Linked DNA regions of Saccharomyces cerevisiae S288C. Changing the gene in region 1 together with any one later gene gives a genetic interaction. Each region holds a gene or a part of one and is shown on either strand. Other genes may lie near its edges. The genes, in order: PSK2, YHR127W, YGL081W and CTK3.

What was found.
Region 2: mutations in PSK2 (region 1) and YHR127W together harm fitness more than expected from each alone (negative genetic interaction), as found in Saccharomyces cerevisiae (3 studies listed by BioGRID).
Region 3: mutations in PSK2 (region 1) and YGL081W together harm fitness more than expected from each alone (negative genetic interaction), as found in Saccharomyces cerevisiae (3 studies listed by BioGRID).
Region 4: mutations in PSK2 (region 1) and CTK3 together harm fitness more than expected from each alone (negative genetic interaction), as found in Saccharomyces cerevisiae (3 studies listed by BioGRID).

The regions. Positions count from the first base shown.
Region 1 is NC_001147.6:240,525-247,833, forward strand, and holds PSK2 (serine/threonine protein kinase PSK2), read left to right. Parts: upstream 1-2,972; coding exon 2,973-6,278; downstream 6,279-7,309. Other genes in the region: RRT8 (Rrt8p), read right to left, coding at 1-423, 502-786; LDS2 (Lds2p), read right to left, coding at 1,090-1,917, 1,981-2,223; PEX15 (Pex15p), read left to right, coding at 6,626-7,309. UniProt on the Saccharomyces cerevisiae protein: Serine/threonine-protein kinase involved in the control of sugar metabolism and translation. Phosphorylates UGP1, which is required for normal glycogen and beta-(1,6)-glucan synthesis.
Region 2 is NC_001140.6:358,864-363,517, forward strand, and holds YHR127W (uncharacterized protein), read left to right. Parts: upstream 1-2,049; coding exon 2,050-2,781; downstream 2,782-4,654. Other genes in the region: YHR125W (uncharacterized protein), read left to right, coding at 1-300; ANS1 (Ans1p), read right to left, coding at 839-1,318; FUR1 (uracil phosphoribosyltransferase), read left to right, coding at 3,252-3,902; ARP1 (actin-related protein 1), read right to left, coding at 4,136-4,654.
Region 3 is NC_001139.9:355,620-360,517, reverse strand, and holds YGL081W (uncharacterized protein), read right to left. Parts: upstream 3,142-4,898; coding exon 2,179-3,141; downstream 1-2,178. Other genes in the region: RNA-dependent ATPase DBP3, read left to right, coding at 1-230; KXD1 (Kxd1p), read right to left, coding at 418-1,074; pyruvate transporter MPC1, read right to left, coding at 1,490-1,882; MIY3 (Miy3p), read right to left, coding at 3,546-4,691.
Region 4 is NC_001145.3:42,800-47,650, forward strand, and holds CTK3 (Ctk3p), read left to right. Parts: upstream 1-2,263; coding exon 2,264-3,154; downstream 3,155-4,851. Other genes in the region: TAF8 (Taf8p), read right to left, coding at 1-776; DAT1 (Dat1p), read left to right, coding at 1,246-1,992; ubiquitin-ubiquitin ligase BUL2, read left to right, coding at 4,143-4,851. UniProt on the Saccharomyces cerevisiae protein: Gamma subunit of the CTDK-I complex, which hyperphosphorylates the C-terminal heptapeptide repeat domain (CTD) of the largest RNA polymerase II subunit.

The DNA.
Region 1 (7,309 bases):
TCTGAATAGTAATCTGGGAATCTTAAAAATCCGACTTCCCTTTATTGTGTTGAAATTTCTCACCGCATCAGGTTCATCGATTTTTCTATGTGGCTTTTGTGGTTTAGGCAATACCTTCACCTCGTTTAGAAATTCATCTTGGTCTTGCAACACCAAAGATATATCAAATATCTGATTCGTAATATGGGTCAGGACCAGTGTTCTACAAACAAAGGCAGTCAAGACATTCGTTTGTAAAATCCATTGAATATGAACCAGTATCACACCAAGAGGCCCTAATAACAGTATGGCCCATGTCACTAAAAGCGGTACAAGTGTGACATAAAAGAGACCAGCAATAGTGACAAAAATCAGGGCATAGCAAACCGCAAACAGTAAAATATGCTTCCAATAAACAGGATTCGTCAGCACTTCATAAAACCCCTACGGTTAACAAATAAAAATTAAATATGTTAGTCATAAAACAAGTCATATCAATGCAAACAAAAATCATGTACTTACTAAGAATGGGTAGATAAATGCTCTTGAGTTGAAAATTTCTTTAATGAAGTTTTTTCTAAGCAGTTCGTATCTCACTTTCATTGTTGGTATCGTTTCAGGAAACCAAATATCAAACTGTCTTATGAAAATCTTTAGCCAACGACTTACGTTACTTTCCTTTGAAGAACTGTGTTCTTTGAATTGTCTTTTTAAACGTTGTGGCCCCTTTTCTGCAAGGGTCATAGAATTAGCATATGTGGCGTGAGAAGCCTGGCTGTGACTTATAAGCTCAATTCCGGCTTTCATCCTTAGTTTGTCTTTACAGCCAACCAGGGGTCCTCAGGGATATACCTTGCCCTTTTTTTCCTTTTTTTGACGTCCCTTCACCTTTCTTGAAAGTGATTTACTTTATTTAGGTTTTGAAGTTCCGAGTGTAACCACCCTGATTTTCATAAGTCCCCTGATTTCCCAAATTTTTTATGCATATACAAATGTTGAAAAGAAACGAATATTATTAGCAAGTAATATATAGTATATAGTATATATATATATTTATATATGTAAACATATAATGAATATATAAATTGGTATGTAAAAGAGTTGCGAGCTTCATGGCGGATTAATGTGAGCTATAGATTGTTGGATTGGAGGTGCATAGGATCCTACAGTAGGCTCTTCTGGTTCCGCAGGAGGGGAAGGAGGTACGGCTGGCTGGTCCCGGTCTTTTATCTCTTTAACTATCCAAAGCGAAGCACCTACTGCGTTTGTTCCAATGAACAACCCACCCAGAATGGGAATAGACTCTAATAAACCGCTGGATATCGAGTAAAGGAGCCACTTGGCAAAGCCCTTGTAGTAAACTTTGGAAAGTTTGCGCGAATCCAAATGTAGCACGTCAACAAAATAAGGCTCAAAATAGTAAAATCCCATTCCGGGGCTAAATGGTAGCATATTGATTGTAATTGGACCCACTATTGGAACGAGCAACAATAAAAGAAACATAAAGGCTATGAAGATGTACCAGAAGAAAAAAATGAAAAACTGCGGCAAAGAGACGAGGTAAAACCGTTTCGAAAAGAGGCCACCCAAACGATGTGACCTTCTGTAGACAAAGGGCGTGAAACTTATCGTTTCACAGGCTTCACTCAACTCTGTTAATCCCTTTCTTGCGAACGTCACTCCATAAATACGTGTGAAAAGAACGAAATCGGTACCCTTCACCATAGAATTACATAGCGTTGTGGAAATCAGAATAGTTTGCATATAAGCCAGAGGTAACGCAAAGAGTCCGAGAAAGGGCAAATAGATGCACACTAACAAGGACCACGCAAGGATTGACGTAAACGCAACAATAAGCAGGAGATTCAGCAGGTAGTATCCAAATATTAGGAAAAATAGATGCAAATAATCCGAGTTTCCCACGGATTCGCTAATTCCCTTCAAAGGCGGTTAGTATGACGGCTTAAAAAACATGATCTGCTTATTGGAACATCAACATACTTTATACGGATACCAGATGATCTGGTGCGACGACTCTAGGTCTTTCCAAAAATTGTCTTTAACAAGCATAGCATTCTTGTACCATCGAACTATCGGAGCCTTGTATGCCATCCAAATTTTTGATTTCTTATGGTTCCCTTGGTCTTGGATGGGGAGTAATTGTGGTTCCTCCCCTTCTGCCAGTGGCGTAGAGGCATATGGATGTCTATGGTAATACCAATCAGGTTGGGGTCTAGTCGACATGTTTGCTTGGTGTCTTAGCAGCTCTTATAGTTCTAATGCTATAACTAAGAAAGTAATAATAATAATAATAAAAAGCTTTATATAATGTTTTATTATGGAAGTTTCGTTTTTGTGGCGCGACGCGATCAGCCAAAATCAGCGGAAAAATTCGTCGGAACATTTTTTTCTTTTTTGGCCAAGCTATTGTTACAGGTGGGGCAGGGGCAAGAGACGATATGTCATCGCGAAGCTGTAAAGACACTTGTCGAAGTGATAAAGCGCAAGAGCTGTTTGTCTACGGAACCAGCAAGTACTATCTAATAGCGTGTTCCAGAGAATAACAGCATTTTTCAACTTCTTTCTCCTGGTGTGAGTAATCAGTACGTGAAAAGAGAACGAAGTTAAAAAAAAAAACAAGAAAAAGAAACAAGATCAAAAGAAACGATAAAGGCTGGCTTATAAAATAATAGCATCGCGAACGATCAATAAGGGGCCCTGTTTATTTTTAACAAAGTTTACATATTTCGTTTTCCTCTTTAAGCTGACATCACGTCTATACCCTGTTTTATTCCTTGTTAGAAACATAACGGAGCAGGTAGTAACAACAACAGTATAAACTATCATAAACTTTTTTCCTTCCTTATTGGTGACTTTTAACACTTAGAATTCTAAGTCTGGCAAGAACAGTAATCATACTTCTTTGCAGGGCGTTTTATTGTTACTCCTCTGCCCTGCTAGATTAAAGTAAAGAATCATAAACAAAGAACACAATGACATACCCGGTTAGTGCAGCCGCTCCTGCCGACATTTCATATTCTAAAAATACCCCGTTGGTAGGGCTCTCTAAACCTCCATGCTTGTACCAACACGCTTCCTCGTCCGTCGATTCGTTTTCGTCAACATTCAGTGATGATGATCGTTCGGACCTTGTTGCTGTACCTAATGAGTCGCCGCATGCATTTTCGTATAATCCCATATCACCAAACTCACTGGGAGTAAGGTTGACCATCTTAAGAAGGTCTTTGGAAATAATGGTAAACAGTCCTGACATCTTACATGAGTTGAAGAAAAAAGCACCCGTAATAGCATACCCCCCCTCACTTAGACACACAAGAAACTTAACAGAGACTGCCACGTTATCAGCATCGCGAGATCCGTTAAATGGGTCTCTAATTTCACCATTAGTATCCAATATGCCATCTCCTGCTAGTAGACCCGTGATACAGAGAGCAACGTCCTTAATGGTGTTGCCTGATAATGATACTGCCAGTAAACTGAATCCAGCCAAGTCCGAGTTAGAAAACTTGTTATTCTTGCTAAATTTAGCATTGGAAAACAATTCCTTCGAAAGAGCTTCCGATTTACACATGCTATCGTTATTGAATATCAAGAAAATAAACTTTGATTCAGACATTCAAAAATCAGAAACTTTGAAAAAGGTTTTATTAGATAGTTTAGCAGAACCATTTTTTGAAAACTACAAGAAGTTCCCTCACAAAGATTTAGGTTCGAAATCGCAATATAATGAATATGAGGAGAAACACGATGATATAGTCTCCTTAGCAGACATCAAACCACAACAGGACTATAGCCGAATTCTTCATCCTTTCACATCTGCAAAAAATTCTGGTCCAGAGGCCATTTTTACATGTTCTCAACAATACCCCTGGAACTTCAAAGCTGCCAATGATTTGGCGTGTCTAACGTTCGGTATATCAAAGAATGTTATCAAGGCACTTACTTTACTAGACCTTATTCATACGGATAGCAGAAATTTTGTTCTAGAGAAAATCATGAATGCAGAAGATGATAACCAAGAAATTGTGTTTACCGGAGAAACTATACCTATCGTCCAGCCAAATTCGACAAGCAATAATAATGTACCAAATCTGATTTGGGCTTCACTATGGGCCAAGCGGAAGAATGGCCTACTGGTCTGCGTATTTGAAAAAACGCCTTGCGATTACATTGACGTCATGTTAAACTTGAGAGATTTTTCAGTGGACAGCATTATTGATACAACACACTTTCTGGAAAACTTTGACAAGAAAAAGCAGCAAGAATCAACTTCGCCAATGACAGAAAAGAAAACGGTAAAATTTGCAAATGAAATTCACGATATTGGGTCAGTAAGTCACTCACTGAGTAAACTAATTGATGATGTACGTTTTGGAAAAGTGTTTTCTGCAGATGATGATTTATTACCCTTGTCTATCAGGGTGGCAAATCATGTCAACGAAGAGAGATATTTTACGTTGAATTGTCTATCTGAAAATATACCATGTGCTGTTACAACTTCCGTATTGGAAAACGAAATAAAATTAAAAATTCATAGTTTGCCCTATCAGGCTGGGCTATTTATTGTTGACAGTCACACTTTAAGTCTTTTAAGTTTCAACAAATCAGTCGCCAAAAACATGTTTGGCTTGCGACTTCACGAGTTGGCCGGTAGTTCGGTTACTAAGTTGGTTCCTTCTTTGGCGGACATGATATCTTATATCAATAAAACTTATCCTATGTTAAATATCACATTACCAGAAAATAAAGGATTGGTTTTAACAGAACATTTTTTCAGAAAAATTGAGGCTGAAATGCATCATGATAAGGACTCGTTTTACACTTCTATTGGTCTAGACGGCTGTCACAAAGATGGTAATTTGATAAAGGTGGATGTTCAATTACGGGTCTTGAATACGAATGCTGTATTATTATGGATTACACACTCAAGAGACGTGGTCATTGAAAATTATACCACCGTTCCTTCGCAGCTACCGATGTTAAAGGAGAACGAAATTGATGTCGTTGGCAGTAGAGGTAGTTCCAGTGCATCTTCCAAGAAATCTTCGGAAAAAATTCCTGTGAATACTTTGAAGGCAATGGCTGATCTGTCGATTAGCTCCGCTGAAACGATTTCTAATTCAGACGATGAAGTAGACTTAAATCAAGTGAATGAAAAACTACGAGAAACTTCTTGCGGTAAAGTGAGAGGTATCGAATCTAATGACAACAATAACTATGACGATGACATGACAATGGTTGATGATCCTGAGTTAAAACATAAAATTGAATTAACGAAAATGTACACGCAGGACAAATCAAAATTTGTAAAGGACGACAACTTTAAAGTGGATGAAAAATTTATAATGAGGATAATTGAACCGATAAACGGAGAAGAAATCAAAAAGGAAACAAATGAGCTAGACAAAAGAAATTCTACTTTAAAAGCTACGTACTTGACTACTCCAGAGGCTAATATAGGCTCACAAAAGCGCATAAAGAAATTTTCTGATTTTACTATTCTGCAAGTGATGGGTGAGGGTGCGTACGGTAAAGTCAATTTATGCATTCATAACAGAGAACACTATATCGTGGTCATCAAAATGATTTTCAAAGAGAGGATTTTAGTAGACACATGGGTGAGAGATAGAAAATTAGGTACTATACCTTCTGAGATCCAAATTATGGCGACCTTGAATAAAAATTCCCAAGAAAATATCTTGAAGTTATTAGATTTTTTTGAAGATGACGATTATTATTACATTGAAACACCGGTCCATGGAGAAACTGGTAGTATTGATCTATTTGATGTTATCGAATTCAAAAAAGATATGGTTGAACATGAAGCTAAACTGGTGTTTAAACAGGTAGTCGCTAGTATAAAGCATTTACATGACCAAGGAATTGTTCATAGAGACATAAAGGACGAAAATGTTATTGTTGATTCTCATGGCTTTGTAAAATTAATCGATTTCGGTTCGGCTGCCTATATCAAGAGTGGACCATTCGATGTTTTTGTGGGAACAATGGACTATGCTGCACCTGAAGTCCTTGGTGGTTCCTCTTACAAAGGTAAACCACAAGATATTTGGGCTCTTGGTGTGCTACTTTATACCATAATTTATAAAGAGAATCCTTATTACAACATTGATGAAATCTTGGAAGGTGAATTAAGGTTCGATAAATCGGAACATGTCAGTGAAGAATGCATCAGTTTGATAAAAAGAATTTTGACAAGAGAAGTTGATAAAAGACCTACTATTGATGAAATATATGAAGATAAATGGCTTAAAATCTAGTTTTCCGTACTCTCCAAGATAAAGGGAAAGAATAATTTAATCCATTTTCATAACCATTTACCTTCATAAATGTTCTATTCTTTTTTTGGCTATATATTAATTACATTTTTAATATCATATCATTGCTCTATATCCTTCTTGTCCAGCCTCTATGCAGTATTTTCTTTCATTCTATTTTGGGGCAAACTTCTGCGCTGAGCGGCTTATCGCCGTCGGAGTGACATCAAGTACCATAGAAAAGTCATCGTAGACTTACATATTTAGGCAAGAGAAATAGTTAGGTAAACAGAAAGAGGCACTAGCAGAACGTACTACGGTGTGGTTTATACAAGAGGGTTCTGTGAATAATGGCTGCAAGTGAGATAATGAACAATCTGCCTATGCATTCCCTCGATTCTTCTCTAAGGGATTTACTTAACGATGACTTATTCATTGAAAGTGATGAATCGACCAAGTCGGTAAATGATCAGAGGAGTGAAGTATTTCAAGAATGTGTGAACCTTTTCATAAAAAGAGATATCAAGGATTGCCTAGAAAAAATGTCTGAGGTTGGATTTATTGATATTACCGTTTTCAAGTCCAACCCTATGATATTAGATTTATTTGTCAGCGCCTGTGATATTATGCCCAGCTTTACCAAATTAGGTTTAACACTGCAGAGTGAGATTTTGAATATTTTCACGTTAGATACCCCTCAATGTATTGAGACAAGAAAAATTATTCTCGGTGACCTCAGTAAACTTTTGGTCATCAATAAATTCTTTCGATGCTGTATCAAGGTTATTCAGTTTAACTTAACTGATCACACCGAACAAGAAGAAAAAACTCTGGAGCTTGAATCCATAATGAGTGATTTCATTTTCGTATACATAACGAAAATGAGGACAACTATAGATGTAGTTGGCTTACAAGAATTAATCGAGATATTCATCTTTCAGGTGAAGGTAAAACTGCATCATAAAAAACCCTCACCGAATATGTATTGGGCGCTTTGCAAAACATTACCTAAGTTATCTCCAACCCTAAAGGGC
Region 2 (4,654 bases), on another chromosome or scaffold:
AATGCAATAATGATTGGTAGTTGCCAAACATTTAATACGATCCTCTGTAATATTTCTATGAATAATTATCACAGCAACGTTCAATTATCTTCAATTCGGCTTCAGTACTGTATGAAATACTCGCTAACATTTTCTTTATTCTATAATAGCACAGTGACACTTAAACGTCAAACGTGGCGCACATTAATATACGATGTATGCATTTGGCTTGACACTGCTGTAATAAGGAACATCATCATCCGTCAACTAGTAGTCACATTAGTAGTGTATTATCACATGGTGTGTAAGAACATTACGTAAAGATTGAAAAAAAGTCATCAAAAATAAAGGAAGCTGAAACGCAAGGACTAGTAGTGTAATAGAATAATATTGTGTAAAAGTATCGATACCCTTTTTGGAATTATTGTATCTTCGAGGGTGGCTTTTAATATATTTTTGAAAACCTAATATTATAACCTTTCACAACAACGAAATCCCAACTGTTGTGTAATAATTTTACTCAATTCTTACTATTGCTTTACCAATCCTTGTATTTGAGCTCTCATAAAGTTCGCTGACTACTTCTCACGACTCATGTCATCTCCTTATACTGTATATGATAATATACTGGTGGTGAATGACAGCAAACTCTTTCTGGAAAACTTCTTGTCCTAAAGAACAAAATCAGTGTAATGTGTAGGCCAGTGTTATGTTTTCATGAATATGACATCTGATAAGAATAAAACAACTGGTAAAATGACTGCTTTTTCGGCTTATAAAATTCTAACATGTACATATTTTTTATAAAATGAAAATACTATTGTCCTTAATTGTACAATTTTTACATTTGGAGGCCAAATTATAAAAATAATAGCGCTGCTACTCCAACTATATAACCCATGTTCTTGGATTCAACCTTCATACCAGCACCTTCATAGACAGAGACATTTGCGGTACTACTTGGGGTAGTAGCAGCGGTAGTCTCAGGTCCAGACGCAGTGGCTTGGATTTGACCATCACTGATCTGTGAAATAGCGGCATCTTGCTTTTTGCCGGGTTGATGATCTGCAACAGCGCTTCTATTGGAACGATACAATGAGCCATTCCAACCACCCACATCATATACAGCTGCATTAGATATCTTTTTCTGCTGAGCTGCTAAGGACCAAGATGCGCTGCTGTTGAAGGCTTCATCAGTCGAATTAAATTTTCCTTCTATGTACGAGTTCGTACTATTCGCAAATTGTACGTCCAACGTGTCTGAGGAGTTGCTTACTTGTGCATGTGCAACTAGAATATTGGTGATGGCAAACAATGTGGAAACTAAAGTGCACTTCATGGTAGATTAATTATGATGTTCGTTTGATTCTGTTCTATATTTTTTATATGCTGACTGAACAGATTATAAAAATTAAATTACATGAAGTATTGAAGTTAATGTTGGCTATTTTTGAGGAGGAGGTTCACCTTTATATAGTATTCCTCGAGCTACAAAAACATGGATATTTTTACAAATGCTAGTAAAAAGGAAAGAGGTCAAAAGAAACGTTTGGCATCAAAAGTAATCAAAGTGGGGTCTAGATTTATAATTTGTACTACGAAGAATCGCGACTCAAGGTACCAGGTACGACTGAAACTTTCTTTTTGGATTTTCGAAGAGAGAAAAATTAGTTAGCATAAAAAGAAATATAAAAAAAAAGGAAAGGAAAAGTGTTCGAGACTTTACCATACAAAGAAATATTACGGTAGAAAAAAGAGCTGCACTTACCCAATACATATTGATGAGGTAGTATTCACGGTGAGAACAACTTACATCAACACCTCAGTTTGCCGAATCTGCAGTGATATTGTATCCAAAGTCTACTTTTCATCCTCATTTACTGTCATTACAGAAATTTGTCAGGAAAAGCAACCGGGTAAGGGAACTTTCAGGGCCAACGCGAAAAAAAAAAAGGTCCATCCATAGATTTTTTAGAAGATACACACCGTGAATTGATTAGAGATCATAGTAACCTCAAAATATACAATGTCTTAGATTGGAGCAGGCAGAAATATCTATCAGAGCACAAAATGGCTAGAAATAGAACAACCTCCAAGAAAAATGTTCAAAGTAAACGCTTAATAGACAGAGTGGTTCCCATGGACAAGATTAAAAAAGTTGGCGTAGCGAAAAAAAAAACCGTAGAACACACTAAAGAAGGATTTAGCGTTGTCAACGGTAAGCTAGTAAGCAGCAATGACGTCGGTGTACTGTTAAGAGAAGCACAGGGTGCTATCGATAAAAGAACTAATGTTTCCCAAAGAAATAGGAAAAAGGGAATAAAGAATAATAGGCCCCACAAAGACATAAACAGCAGTCCTGACTGGGGCAATGCCCACAGAGGAACCGATTGGCAGAGCGAAAAAGCAAACGGCATGAACAGGGCCAAGAACTCTCGGAATTTTACCACTAATATTAAATTGCAGCGACAACATTTTGGCGAAGAAATACAAGGTGGCAGCCAGCTTGTGATATCTACAAATTCAGATGCTTCAGATAAATTGTTAATGCTATTCAACCTAACTTTGGGAGTAAACCAAGAAAACTTGAAAAATGTTCTGGAAAACATTTCTCAGGTGCAGATAGCTCAAATTAGGGTTAGAGACCTGCCTTCAGGATCTGCCACCGCTAAGGTCCGTCTGGCATATCCTACAACACAGTCTTTGGAGAAGGTAAGAAAACTGTTCCATGGCGCTCTAGTTGATGGAAGGCGCATCCAAGTGGTGATTGCATCTGATGAATCGTCCCACTTGTCGTATTAGAGTTTGTCAACGACACTCACAAGGTATTTAATCAGCAAAATCCCCGCCACAAACTATTTTTTTGAAGACATGCTTTCTCATGACTGCCTAATAACAATACCTCATTCTACTAGTAATCGACCTATGTAATTATTTCATAAACTATAAAGCAGGTCATTGCAATAACAGAAAGGCCGGTTTTTCTATAAGCTTATCTCATCGCATAAAAAATCGACAGTTGTAATTATCTCCGGCGGACTTTTCCCTTTCCGTCTTTTTTTTCAAAATTTTTTTTTTTTTCACTTCTTCTTTCAAAGCTGCCTCAAAAGAGATATATATATTGGTAAGAATCCTCTTCCAATACTAGCTTCATTTCTTCTTGAACCATGAACCCGTTATTCTTTTTGGCTTCTCCATTCTTGTACCTTACATATCTTATATATTATCCAAACAAAGGGTCTTTCGTTAGCAAACCTAGAAATCTGCAAAAAATGTCTTCGGAACCATTTAAGAACGTCTACTTGCTACCTCAAACAAACCAATTGCTGGGTTTGTACACCATCATCAGAAATAAGAATACAACTAGACCTGATTTCATTTTCTACTCCGATAGAATCATCAGATTGTTGGTTGAAGAAGGTTTGAACCATCTACCTGTGCAAAAGCAAATTGTGGAAACTGACACCAACGAAAACTTCGAAGGTGTCTCATTCATGGGTAAAATCTGTGGTGTTTCCATTGTCAGAGCTGGTGAATCGATGGAGCAAGGATTAAGAGACTGTTGTAGGTCTGTGCGTATCGGTAAAATTTTAATTCAAAGGGACGAGGAGACTGCTTTACCAAAGTTATTCTACGAAAAATTACCAGAGGATATATCTGAAAGGTATGTCTTCCTATTAGACCCAATGCTGGCCACCGGTGGTAGTGCTATCATGGCTACAGAAGTCTTGATTAAGAGAGGTGTTAAGCCAGAGAGAATTTACTTCTTAAACCTAATCTGTAGTAAGGAAGGGATTGAAAAATACCATGCCGCCTTCCCAGAGGTCAGAATTGTTACTGGTGCCCTCGACAGAGGTCTAGATGAAAACAAGTATCTAGTTCCAGGGTTGGGTGACTTTGGTGACAGATACTACTGTGTTTAAATAAATCACACCCGAACACCATCTTGAAGGTTCAGAACGGCTGAAGCCGCATATCAACTTTTGGTTTCTACTGTTTTAAATTTCCTTTCTCGTTTTAAACCTTTGTTGCCGTCTCTTCTACTATCAATTTTGTTGTTCATGCATGTTTAATTACCTTTTTTTGTAAAAATAATATAAACGTATCAATGGCTATTTATAACAAATATGCTTGAAAAATCTAACGACTCTGTTTCTTACATTAGGTTCGAATAAACACGGGTACTGTCCTCTAGCCAATCTGACTTTTTGGTCCAAAGTCTTTGAAAGGTAGATAACCCCGTTAAAATAGAACCACCAATCCATGTAGTATATTTTCTTTCTGAAGGGGCTATAATCTTTATCTTGGATGTTCCTTTGGTTAATGCCTCCAAATCCCATAGCATTCGGTCTCCAAAGCCTTTAAGCGTTGTAGTTCCGCCACTTAGGATTATCGATGACAGTAAAGGTTTCCTTAAATCCAGATCGACTTTCCAAATAGATTGCATGCACATATCAGATAATCCATCGTACCCTAAGCCGATGATTTGAGGTGAAAATAATATTTCTGGAGCACGATATCGATCATTCCCCACCTCTATACACCTCCCGTCGGGCAATTTGAATGTCGAGATTAAATCTTGAGTACCTTGTAAGTATTTCTCCTCTTCCTTTTTAATATTCTTGGCCAAATAACAAACTTTCTCTTTCATCGTGCGAACAATCTCTCGTTCACT
Region 3 (4,898 bases), on another chromosome or scaffold:
GTAGAACTGGTAGAGCTGGTCAAACAGGCACAGCACACACTCTGTTCACTGAACAAGAAAAGCATTTGGCTGGTGGACTGGTTAACGTTTTGAATGGTGCCAATCAACCTGTTCCTGAAGATTTGATAAAGTTCGGTACTCACACTAAGAAGAAGGAACATAGCGCTTATGGTTCATTCTTTAAGGACGTCGATTTGACTAAGAAACCAAAAAAAATTACTTTCGATTAGGGGTTTTTTCGTTTACTTCAATCTTGGATTTTCTTCTCTAATAATAGCCAATCGAGAGTCGGAGATTTATTAACAAAACACTGTATATTACTATTATAACTGCCCACTTTCATTTATCATTAATATTATTTAAATTGACTCTCACATAGTATACATATTTTCTAGAAAAAAAATACGATTCAGTATATCAGCAGTCATGGTCTTCATTCAATCTGCGCTCAAGAATTTTTTCTCTTGCCTGATTAAACTCTATGGGGAAATCGACACGCAAAGCAGCGTTTAAATAGTCGATGTTCTTTCTTGAAGTTTCTAAATCACGTTTTATTTTTTTTGAAGTAGCCTCACCATTTTCAAACTTCTCTTGCAGTTGAGTGAGCCTGCTCTTCATTTCATCAATATATTGTTTAAGCTCTAGGCTTTTCGAATTTATAACAGCGGAGGTTTTGGTCTGTAGAGAAAGTGCCTCTGAGAAATCAGCAGAATCAATAGATTGTTTTAGAGAATCAAAAATATATCTAGAAACGTCAAATATTGGACCAGGATCCTGGGCATCCGTGGGTAGCAAATTGCTTGACTGAGGGATATCGTTATCTAGGAACAAATCTTCGTCAACGTTAGATTCATTGTCCATTTCATTTTGCTCCACAACATCTGAAACGTTACTTCCATCACTATCGAAGCTACCACTTGAGTTGCTAGTGGTGCTGATCGAATCATGGAAAGAGCTGGACATTTCCTCTGTTATAGGAATCGCGTAGGATTGAGAATTAATACTGGGTGTTGAAGAATGAACAGCCGAAAAAGTCTCTTCATCATCATTTTCCTCCGATATTCCGGTCACCATTGTTCTTCACTAAGTGTTGGTAACCATTATTTTGCCTCTCTTATTATTTTACTATAATATAGCTGCGACTTTTCAGTGAAAAACGTTCTTTTTTAACTTTTTGAATGGCTGAATATAATCAGTAATACAAAGGAGATGAGAGGGAAATTGTCTTGGATATAAAAGAAATATTTGAATAAAGACATAATAATTATTTAGGTTATTTAGAATATGTCATCTTATGTAGTTTGGTTCAATACTAACTACTAAATAAAATGAAACTCATAGAGATAATGGTTCTATAGCATGCATATATGAAAAGGAGAAGAGGTAAAAATGAGAGAATATGCATGAACATATCCATCCTCTTAATCCTTGCTTGTTCTTTTTTATGTTTCCATCTAGTCACCTACTTCAGGTTCTTAGACTGCTCGTTTTACTGTTTACCAGTTTTTTCTTTCTCTTTCCATTCCTTATCTAGAGCTTTCTTCTCCTCATCTGTTGTGAAATACGTGTATTTGAGAAACCTATAGCCTTGAGCTAATTGCGCAGTTTCATTAATAAGGTGGCATCCAAACAGTAAGTAGTTTTTGGGTGATACTGAAAGAGCATACTTCATGAAAACACCTGAATAGGTAACTAAAGCAAAAGTCATTGGGCCAGAGATTAGTGTAGGGTCTTTTTTCAGATCATATATAGCAGCAATTGGGATACCGAAATTTGATACGGGACCCCAGAAGTGTGTTGTGAAAATATATTTCAAAGTTTCTTTATTGATGTATTTTTGAAGGAATGAGCGTGCTGCAGCGCGTTGAACCGGTTGAGACATTCTTTTTGATCACAGTGCAATAAAATCTATACGTATATATGTAGATGTATTGACGTTTGCTGATTGGCAAGTGAGTGTTTAAATAGATTATCGGTGGAGAAAGGTGGAGACCGCAGGTTGTAGTGGCTATTCCTTCTTTGCCAGAAAGCACTTGTCATTTCGCCTCGGTTAAAGCGGGGGGCCGTCGCAAAAGAGAACTTTACAGGCCACGTCCAGAGCAAAAAACTCCACTTATTTGACTAGCCATGAAGCTATAATACCACCCAGCAATATAGAACTGGGTTATAAAATTATATTTAATTCGATAGTAGGCGGTCAAAAATCAAGATTACTATTAGTAGTAACCACATACTATTGGAGTGCTGAGGGGTAATAATTTTCTTGTTTTTCGAGAAGCAAGTAAGCGTCTTCTTTATCTTCGTCCTGCCCTTTATTCTTTTTACTCTAATAATTTCAAGTTCTATTTCTCCTTCCTCATCATCCCCTTCTTCTTTTTCTTCTTCTTCTTCTTTTTCTTCTGTGGTGTCTGTGTCAGTGCAAACTTCGATTTCTTCTTCGAAAGAACTCGTTTCATGTATTTTTCTATCAAAGTTACTGCAGATCTTCTGGTCTTGCTTGCTGCCTCTTTTTCTCAACGAAAGGATAGAAAACCTACCACCTCGAGTCAATATGGTGTTCGTTTCATGACACTCATCTGCAACTTCCGTTTGCGTACTCGCTTCCGACAATCCGTACCAACTTGAATCGCTATCTTCTGTGGATGTTGCAGAATGAATAGGGAAAGATGACACTGTATTATTCTTTCCAAATGTTACATTTGTAATAGTGCACTTTACGATTTCCCTTGCTTCATCGAAATACTCAAGTTCAATTCGGAAAATTAACTTGGCGGCTAAATGATGGTTGTCGCGAAAAGGATGATTATCAATTGCAATCAAACCAAAAGCATCACCATTTTTCAAATCAATTTCATCATTTGGCCCATCAGACACTAAGTTTACTGTACCAGTCTTGTTATTCAAATCCCGAATGCAGATGCGGAGTTGTTCTATAGAGGGAACTCCTTCAATTTTGGGTATTGGTGTCTTTATACATAGGACAGCATGCTGTCTGCTTAGTTCTGGCTCATCAAAATATAGATTGTACGGCTTACATAGACTATTTTGATCAAATGAACTCGAACGGCCAATGGTTTTACACAAACCTTGTGTTGTTTCCGTATCTTCTATAGCGAAAACAAAAGTTCTTATATCACCCATGATTTCCCCAGTTCCTTCCCTCAGTTTCAACTTTATGCAACTGCCTAGTGATTATTTTTTTTTCAAGTAATTTGTAAAACTCAATACTATGAGCCACTTTGATTGCTTTAGTATTCTGTGAAGATATCCCAAAAATGTTAATTTCCGCTGTAGTGCATTATTCGGGGCTTCTTGAGCCGTTTTGTTTGGACAAATTTAGGAGAAGGAATCTGTAAAAAAAAATAAATCATTGGTATTATCAGGTTATATATCACAAATAGGCCAGTTGAACGCCATGAAGGAGTAAAATATACATTTACAAAATTAAAAAGTGGTAGAGTTAAAAATAAGCGCTAGCGTGGTGACACCCACAAAAAAAATAATTCTATAAGAAAGATACAAAAGACGAAAAAGAAATCATGGTTTCACATAATTACACAGTTTTTTTTCAACTTGTCTCTTTTCTTTTCTTTATTACTCCCATTAAAGGGAAGGAACTTGTTTTTCTTTGAATTTTTTTCAGGTCTTTCAAACCTTTCCCTTTGATGATTTCTACCGTTATTAGCATAACCATTTTGCATGTTATTTGCCGCACGCATATCTTCTTGTTCCTGTAACCTCCTAGCTAGTTCCTCATCATCTTCGATTTGTTGAACACCGCTTGCTCCACTATTAACTTGGTTGCTAGTTACATGCCCTGTATTCTGGTCACTGAATGGGTTAGAAATGTAGGACTCATTTTGCCCGGTAGCAGTAGTTTCTGTTCTTTCCAGACTTGTGGGAATGAAGTTGCCCGTGTAGTAAGAATCCTGCGATCCATTCACGGATTTAAGCGACTGCCAGTTTATGTCCTTGCGATTTCTGTAAGTAGGATCCGTGACCAAAGTAAACAATTCGCCATTGTTTTTATATAATGTGCAAAAGTGATCATTTCTAAAAAGCACGGCATACGATCTTTCTACTAAAATTTCTCTGAGATGAGTTAGACCATATTCAGTCAATTGTGTGGCAGATCTTGCCAGAAACGATTTTAAGTAAGGTGCATCAGATTGGATTTGCTCGCTGTTTTCAAATTGGGCATTATTCTTTTGGATCTCATACGACTGTACCAAAACTTTTTGCGCGCCCATATAAGAATATTTGGACACATGTTCGTAAGAGTTCGGATCATTGTCCCCATCTATTATCCATCCATGAACGATGCCGACATTGTAGAGCCTGAAAATCGACATTTCTACGCCGTCCTCAAAAGATCCGTTAAATTCTGGGTTGATGTTCAATCCGCTATATAATTGTGGTAGGATTTGGAGTAGCTGTTGTTTGTCCACATCTGTACCATTCGGATTTTGAACGCCCATGTCGGCTAGAGTTTGCACAAGTTCGTTTAAAGTAACAGTTTCCTTGCCTCTCACTAGTCTGGAAATTTCTTGGGCATAGCGAGCATGGGCAGGTGATATCAATAATACGTTAGCTAGTGCAATTAGCGCGCATTCACCTTGCCCATTTTGAAGTAATATTTTAAACTGAGTGCCATTTATTTGAACATTTTTGGTTAGAAATGTAACATCCATATTGGCTAATTCCTGTGAACGATTGTATACGGACTGAAAAATTGCCCCAGTCTTGATTTTAGCAAATTTGGTTTTGTTTGCTTCCTCTGTACCTCCTTCATGTTTGGTTGTTGTACGACTGTTTCATCCTTTCTTTATTTATTGAACGTGTGATTCCCCTGATCCCGCACCGTCCAGAAAAAAGAACAATTTGCTTGTCAGTCAGGC
Region 4 (4,851 bases), on another chromosome or scaffold:
TCCAGCGCGTTGCCCCAAATCTCCAATTGTTGCTCGATAGCGTCCTCATCGTCTAAACCCGGCGGTTGCGGGGTATTTGACGCTGATGATATGTGGGAGAGACTTTTGTTCAAGTTCAATAGTGCCTTTTCAGACTCTTGGCTTTCTTTTACTATTTCTTTCTTGATGGTTTTTAGATCAGTAATTGGATGGTTGAACTCAGGTGTAAACTTATAGGTATGGTCAGGCGGAAAGTTGGGCAGCCAACTCGGTATCTGTTTTTCCAGTGGGTTAGAGGGAGGCAGCAAAACGTTGATCTCGTTCTGTTGCTCCTCGATATTATTCAATTCGTCCTCTTCATCTTCTTCGTTATGCGGTAAAGCAGCAAGAGACGACCAGCTCATCAATTTTTCATATTCCGTGGAATGCTTCGATTTGATGAATTCTGAGGCCTGAAACTGCTGATAAAGGGAGGGCGCATCCAGGTTAAACTCTCGAAGCAACAATTTCAAATCTGCTTGAGAAGCTTGCGACCTTCTTTGTAAAAGTGTTAAATTGTGCAGGTTCCGAAACATGCCGTCCATTTGGACGGTCACGAGGTTGACCAGCTCATCCAATGCAAAGTTTGAAATGCAGATGTTCAACGAATTCAACTGGAAAAGTACTGTTTTCTTTAGAATTTCAACTACGGGAGCATCTATTTCCAAGTGACTAATTTCCGTCAAATCCGGTAGGTTCCTCAGCTGAACTATGGTACTTTGGGTACCGGTACCACTTTCTGACGTTTTGGAAGTCATTGCCCTTTATGAGTCCCTCAATTACACGTTTGTTTGCTTGCTTGCCTCTCTCTCCATTGCTTTTACTCTCTTTTTTAAAGAGTTCAAGATTTTCTACATAAAAGCATCGGGTAACACTCCCATATACACCATTTGTGCTTAAGCTGGCTTCTACCAGTCGCGTTTCAAGCGACTTTATTGATCGCATCAGCGTAGAACAAGAACAGAACTATGTATGCAAACAGGACTAATCATCTTCAGTTATCTTACTTTAGTTTGCAACTATTTATATCATGTTTTCTTTTCAACTTCTTTTTTTTTTTTTCGTTTATGAAGCCGATGCTAATGCATCAATTTTTTTTTTTTGGTGATGAGTTTTGAAAGAAAATGAAAAAAAAAAAATTTCTATTATTGTCAGTGGAGTTTTTGAACAGATCACCTTGTGAATCTACAAACTGTCCTAAAGTATATTGGAGCAGGACATTGGGTGATGGCGAAAACTTTGGCACAAGGAAGGAAACCTGGAAGCGGCAGAAAGCCCGGAAAAGGGAAGACGTTGAGAGAGGGAAGAAAGCCTGGCAGTGGTAGGAGGAGGAGGCAAGATACTGGGGGTAAAGAGACCGACGGGTCTCAGCAAGATCAGGAGTCGCGTCTTATTAGTTCCAGGGACATGGAAGCTGTGGACGCACTGAGAGAGTTGACGCACAGCCCGTCGTCTCACTCAGCTCATAATTCATCAGCAGCACCACCGCCGCATGCAGCAGCGGCGTCAACTTCATTGCCTCCATCTCTGGATTATACCCATCAGTCATTCATGGATCAACAACAACAACAGCAGCAGCAGCAGCAGCAACAACTACTACAGCAACAGAGAGTGGACGTCGTTCCGCCCAAGCCGTTCATCACCCACAAGATCCTGTTATCTTCAACGGGAAACTCTGGCGGCCACGTGAATTCAAATTACAACGCCGACCACAGCATTAATCATAATTCAAACCACAACCTTAACAGCAACGTGAACGTGAACATGAACTTTACTATAAATGGGAGCAATCAAGACCCGTCATCTTCTTTCCTGATGGGGCCCTACAACTACTTACAGCGGCCTTTCATTGTGAAACCATATCTTGATCTGTCCACAAGCACAGCAGCATCAAATCAGCCACGGACGCAACCATCGCCGGCAGCACATATCACTAAGAATTCCGATTCTACAGAGAAAAACGCAACCATATGACATTCATTTCCAGCATACCACTAAAACATTCGTATATGCCACATAATAACTAGTTGAGAAAACCATAGATATTTATATTTATATGTATTTGTACTTCTTTGAGCAATGTATATTTAAGACTGATCTCAACTTCAGCAACTGTTCAAATTCACTGTTTTTCCTAATTAAGCACAACATGAAAAACTAGAATTTTAGAAAGAAAAGGAAAAAGAATACCAGATGGTAGTTAATTTCTCACAAAAGCACTGCCAGGTAAAGGTATACAGCAAGGATGGACTCTCTTGAAGCTAGATTACAATTCATTCAGGTCCTGAAGAACCTGCAAAAGACGCTGCACAAGACCAGAGACTCTATCACATCATCGTCGACCACCACACCACCGTCATCGCAACAAAAGCTGAACAATGACCCTATACAGTTCTACTTGAGAAACTACAGACATCACTACGAGGACTTCCACCAATGTTTGTTCGATACAACCATGAAGATGGACCCACTAGATAGACTGGACGTAGTGATATACTATGTTAGAATAATAAGAAACTTATATCCGCATAGCCATTCCAATACCAATGTTACAAAAGTGTTAAACGAAGTGCTACTCATGGACATAGACTTGGTTTTTGAGCTTTGTCTGCCCTGCCAGGACTGGAAATCCCTCACGAATCAAGCCACCTGTAAAGAGCTATTCCTTGACTTATCCAAACTAATCCATTACGACGCCACCAGCGTCACGCACACACCATCAGACACCACACTCATAGACGCTACTACCTGGTACAGTGTCAAGACAGAGAGGACTACAAAGGACTATAAAGAATCATTGCAACGAACGGAGTCTCTGCTTAAGGACAGAGACTTGAAGAAATTGGCTTTCTTTCAGCAGTTCAATTCCGATACAACTGCGATCAACCCGGACTTACAGACGCAGCCAACCAATGCAAACATTTTGTTGCACAGGATGGAAGCAGACAGGGAACTGCACAAGAGGTCGAAAGAGACAAGTTGGTACATCGAAAGGCCCTCCAACGATATACTGGATGAATCCGAATTTAAAAGCTTGTGGACGCATTTTGAAACTACTGATTCCGGATTTGATAAGGACGATTACAAAAATATCAAGGCTTTAAATGACATTGCGAAGGCATCTTACATATATTAGTACCATGACGTTATATATATATCTGTGAAGAGAATCCGTATCTGTATTATATATACGTATATACGTATCAATGCGCGTACAAAATGAACTTGTCTTTTTCTTATCTCGATTTCAGGAAAAGCAAACTATTCAAGGTGAAACGGCGGCTAATTTTCCTCTAAGTTACTTTTATTGTAGTCCTCAACATGTGCAGACGAATAAACTTAACACGGTTTGCAGAGTGTGTTGTTGAGTATAAAACAGTCAATTTCTGTGGACCTGGCCGTAGCCTATTGCTGAAAACACACAAAAGAGGAGTTTGACGAGACTTAAAACAAGCCAAGGAAAATACCATGTTAGACTACTCCCTTCATTCGATGGTTTTACGCCGCATTTCTACACAAATGAATTTACATTCGGGCTGATATGGTTGCTACATAAGCGAATTTAAAATTTGAGAAGGTTCATTGTTGCCTTGTGGTTCGAGCTTAAAGATCATAAAGAACCGCGGGGAATTTGTCTAGTTACAAGCTGGAAAGGACTGAGCAGAGGAAGAGCATTCGTTCACAGAGAGGTCCACGATAGAAAAGTGCCAAGAATATTACTTCTTTCACATCAAAAATGTGTGACGGTTCCTTTGCACGTTGAAGCGTTATCATTTTTTTATGTATATACGGCACCGGTTTTTCGCCTTTTCCTGTTCGTATATTTATAGTCGCCCCGCCATTGCTCGCCCTGTTCCTGGTAGTCTAGGCTCTTTGCATTTCTCTTTTGGTGATTTTTATTTTTTATCTGCCGTTACCAATTAAGAAAAATTTCTGAAATCGTCCAACAGATATGCGTAAAGCAAATATTGCAATTATCATTTTGTGCATAACTTACCAATAATTGATTTCTGTTTCTGTAGGATTTCTCGACAAGAATCTCAACTTCTTACCCGTTTTGGCCAAGGACTTTGCAACTGAAGCAGCAGATTTGAGATATATTCTGGGGAACAAAAGAAGTATTAATGACTTTTACATTCTCCACTTCATCAAGGAAAAATGGGAGACCTCCTTTAAAATCAGTTTCTACGGAAGATAACATTCATCTATTGAGGAAGCGGCGTCAACAGCAGCTGTCAAGTAATTCTACAGATAATTCGCTGCATCCAAATAGTGGGCAGACTCCACGTGCAAGTGACAGCCAGGACGATGACATACGCAGCGCTTCAACAACCAATTTAGACCGTTTACGACAAGAACGAGAGGAAAATTCACTGGAAATGGACTGCACACAGTCAAGATTATCTCATAGAGCAAATATGCTAGTGGATGTCCTACCATCTTTTGAGATGTATAATGCCTTGCACAGACACATACCTCAAGGAAACGTTGATCCCGATAGACATGATTTCCCCCCTTCTTATCAAGAAGTTCGCACTCAAAGAATGACTATATTGCCCAGCAATGATAATTCCGTGGAAAGGTCACAATTGACAGCAGTGCCAGGATCCGAAAACGCATGTAATAATGCGACTGCCCATTCTCTTACCAACCTACATCCTCTACAAACACAACATCTTACAATAAACAGTACAAGAAGTGGTGGACAGTCGCTCCATTCTTCATCAGACACCAATATCAGTCAAATACCGTTCGAAGATGATCTAAACGACTCGGATAACATTTTTATAGACAAGTTATACACCTTACCCAAGTTATCCACTCCTATCGAAA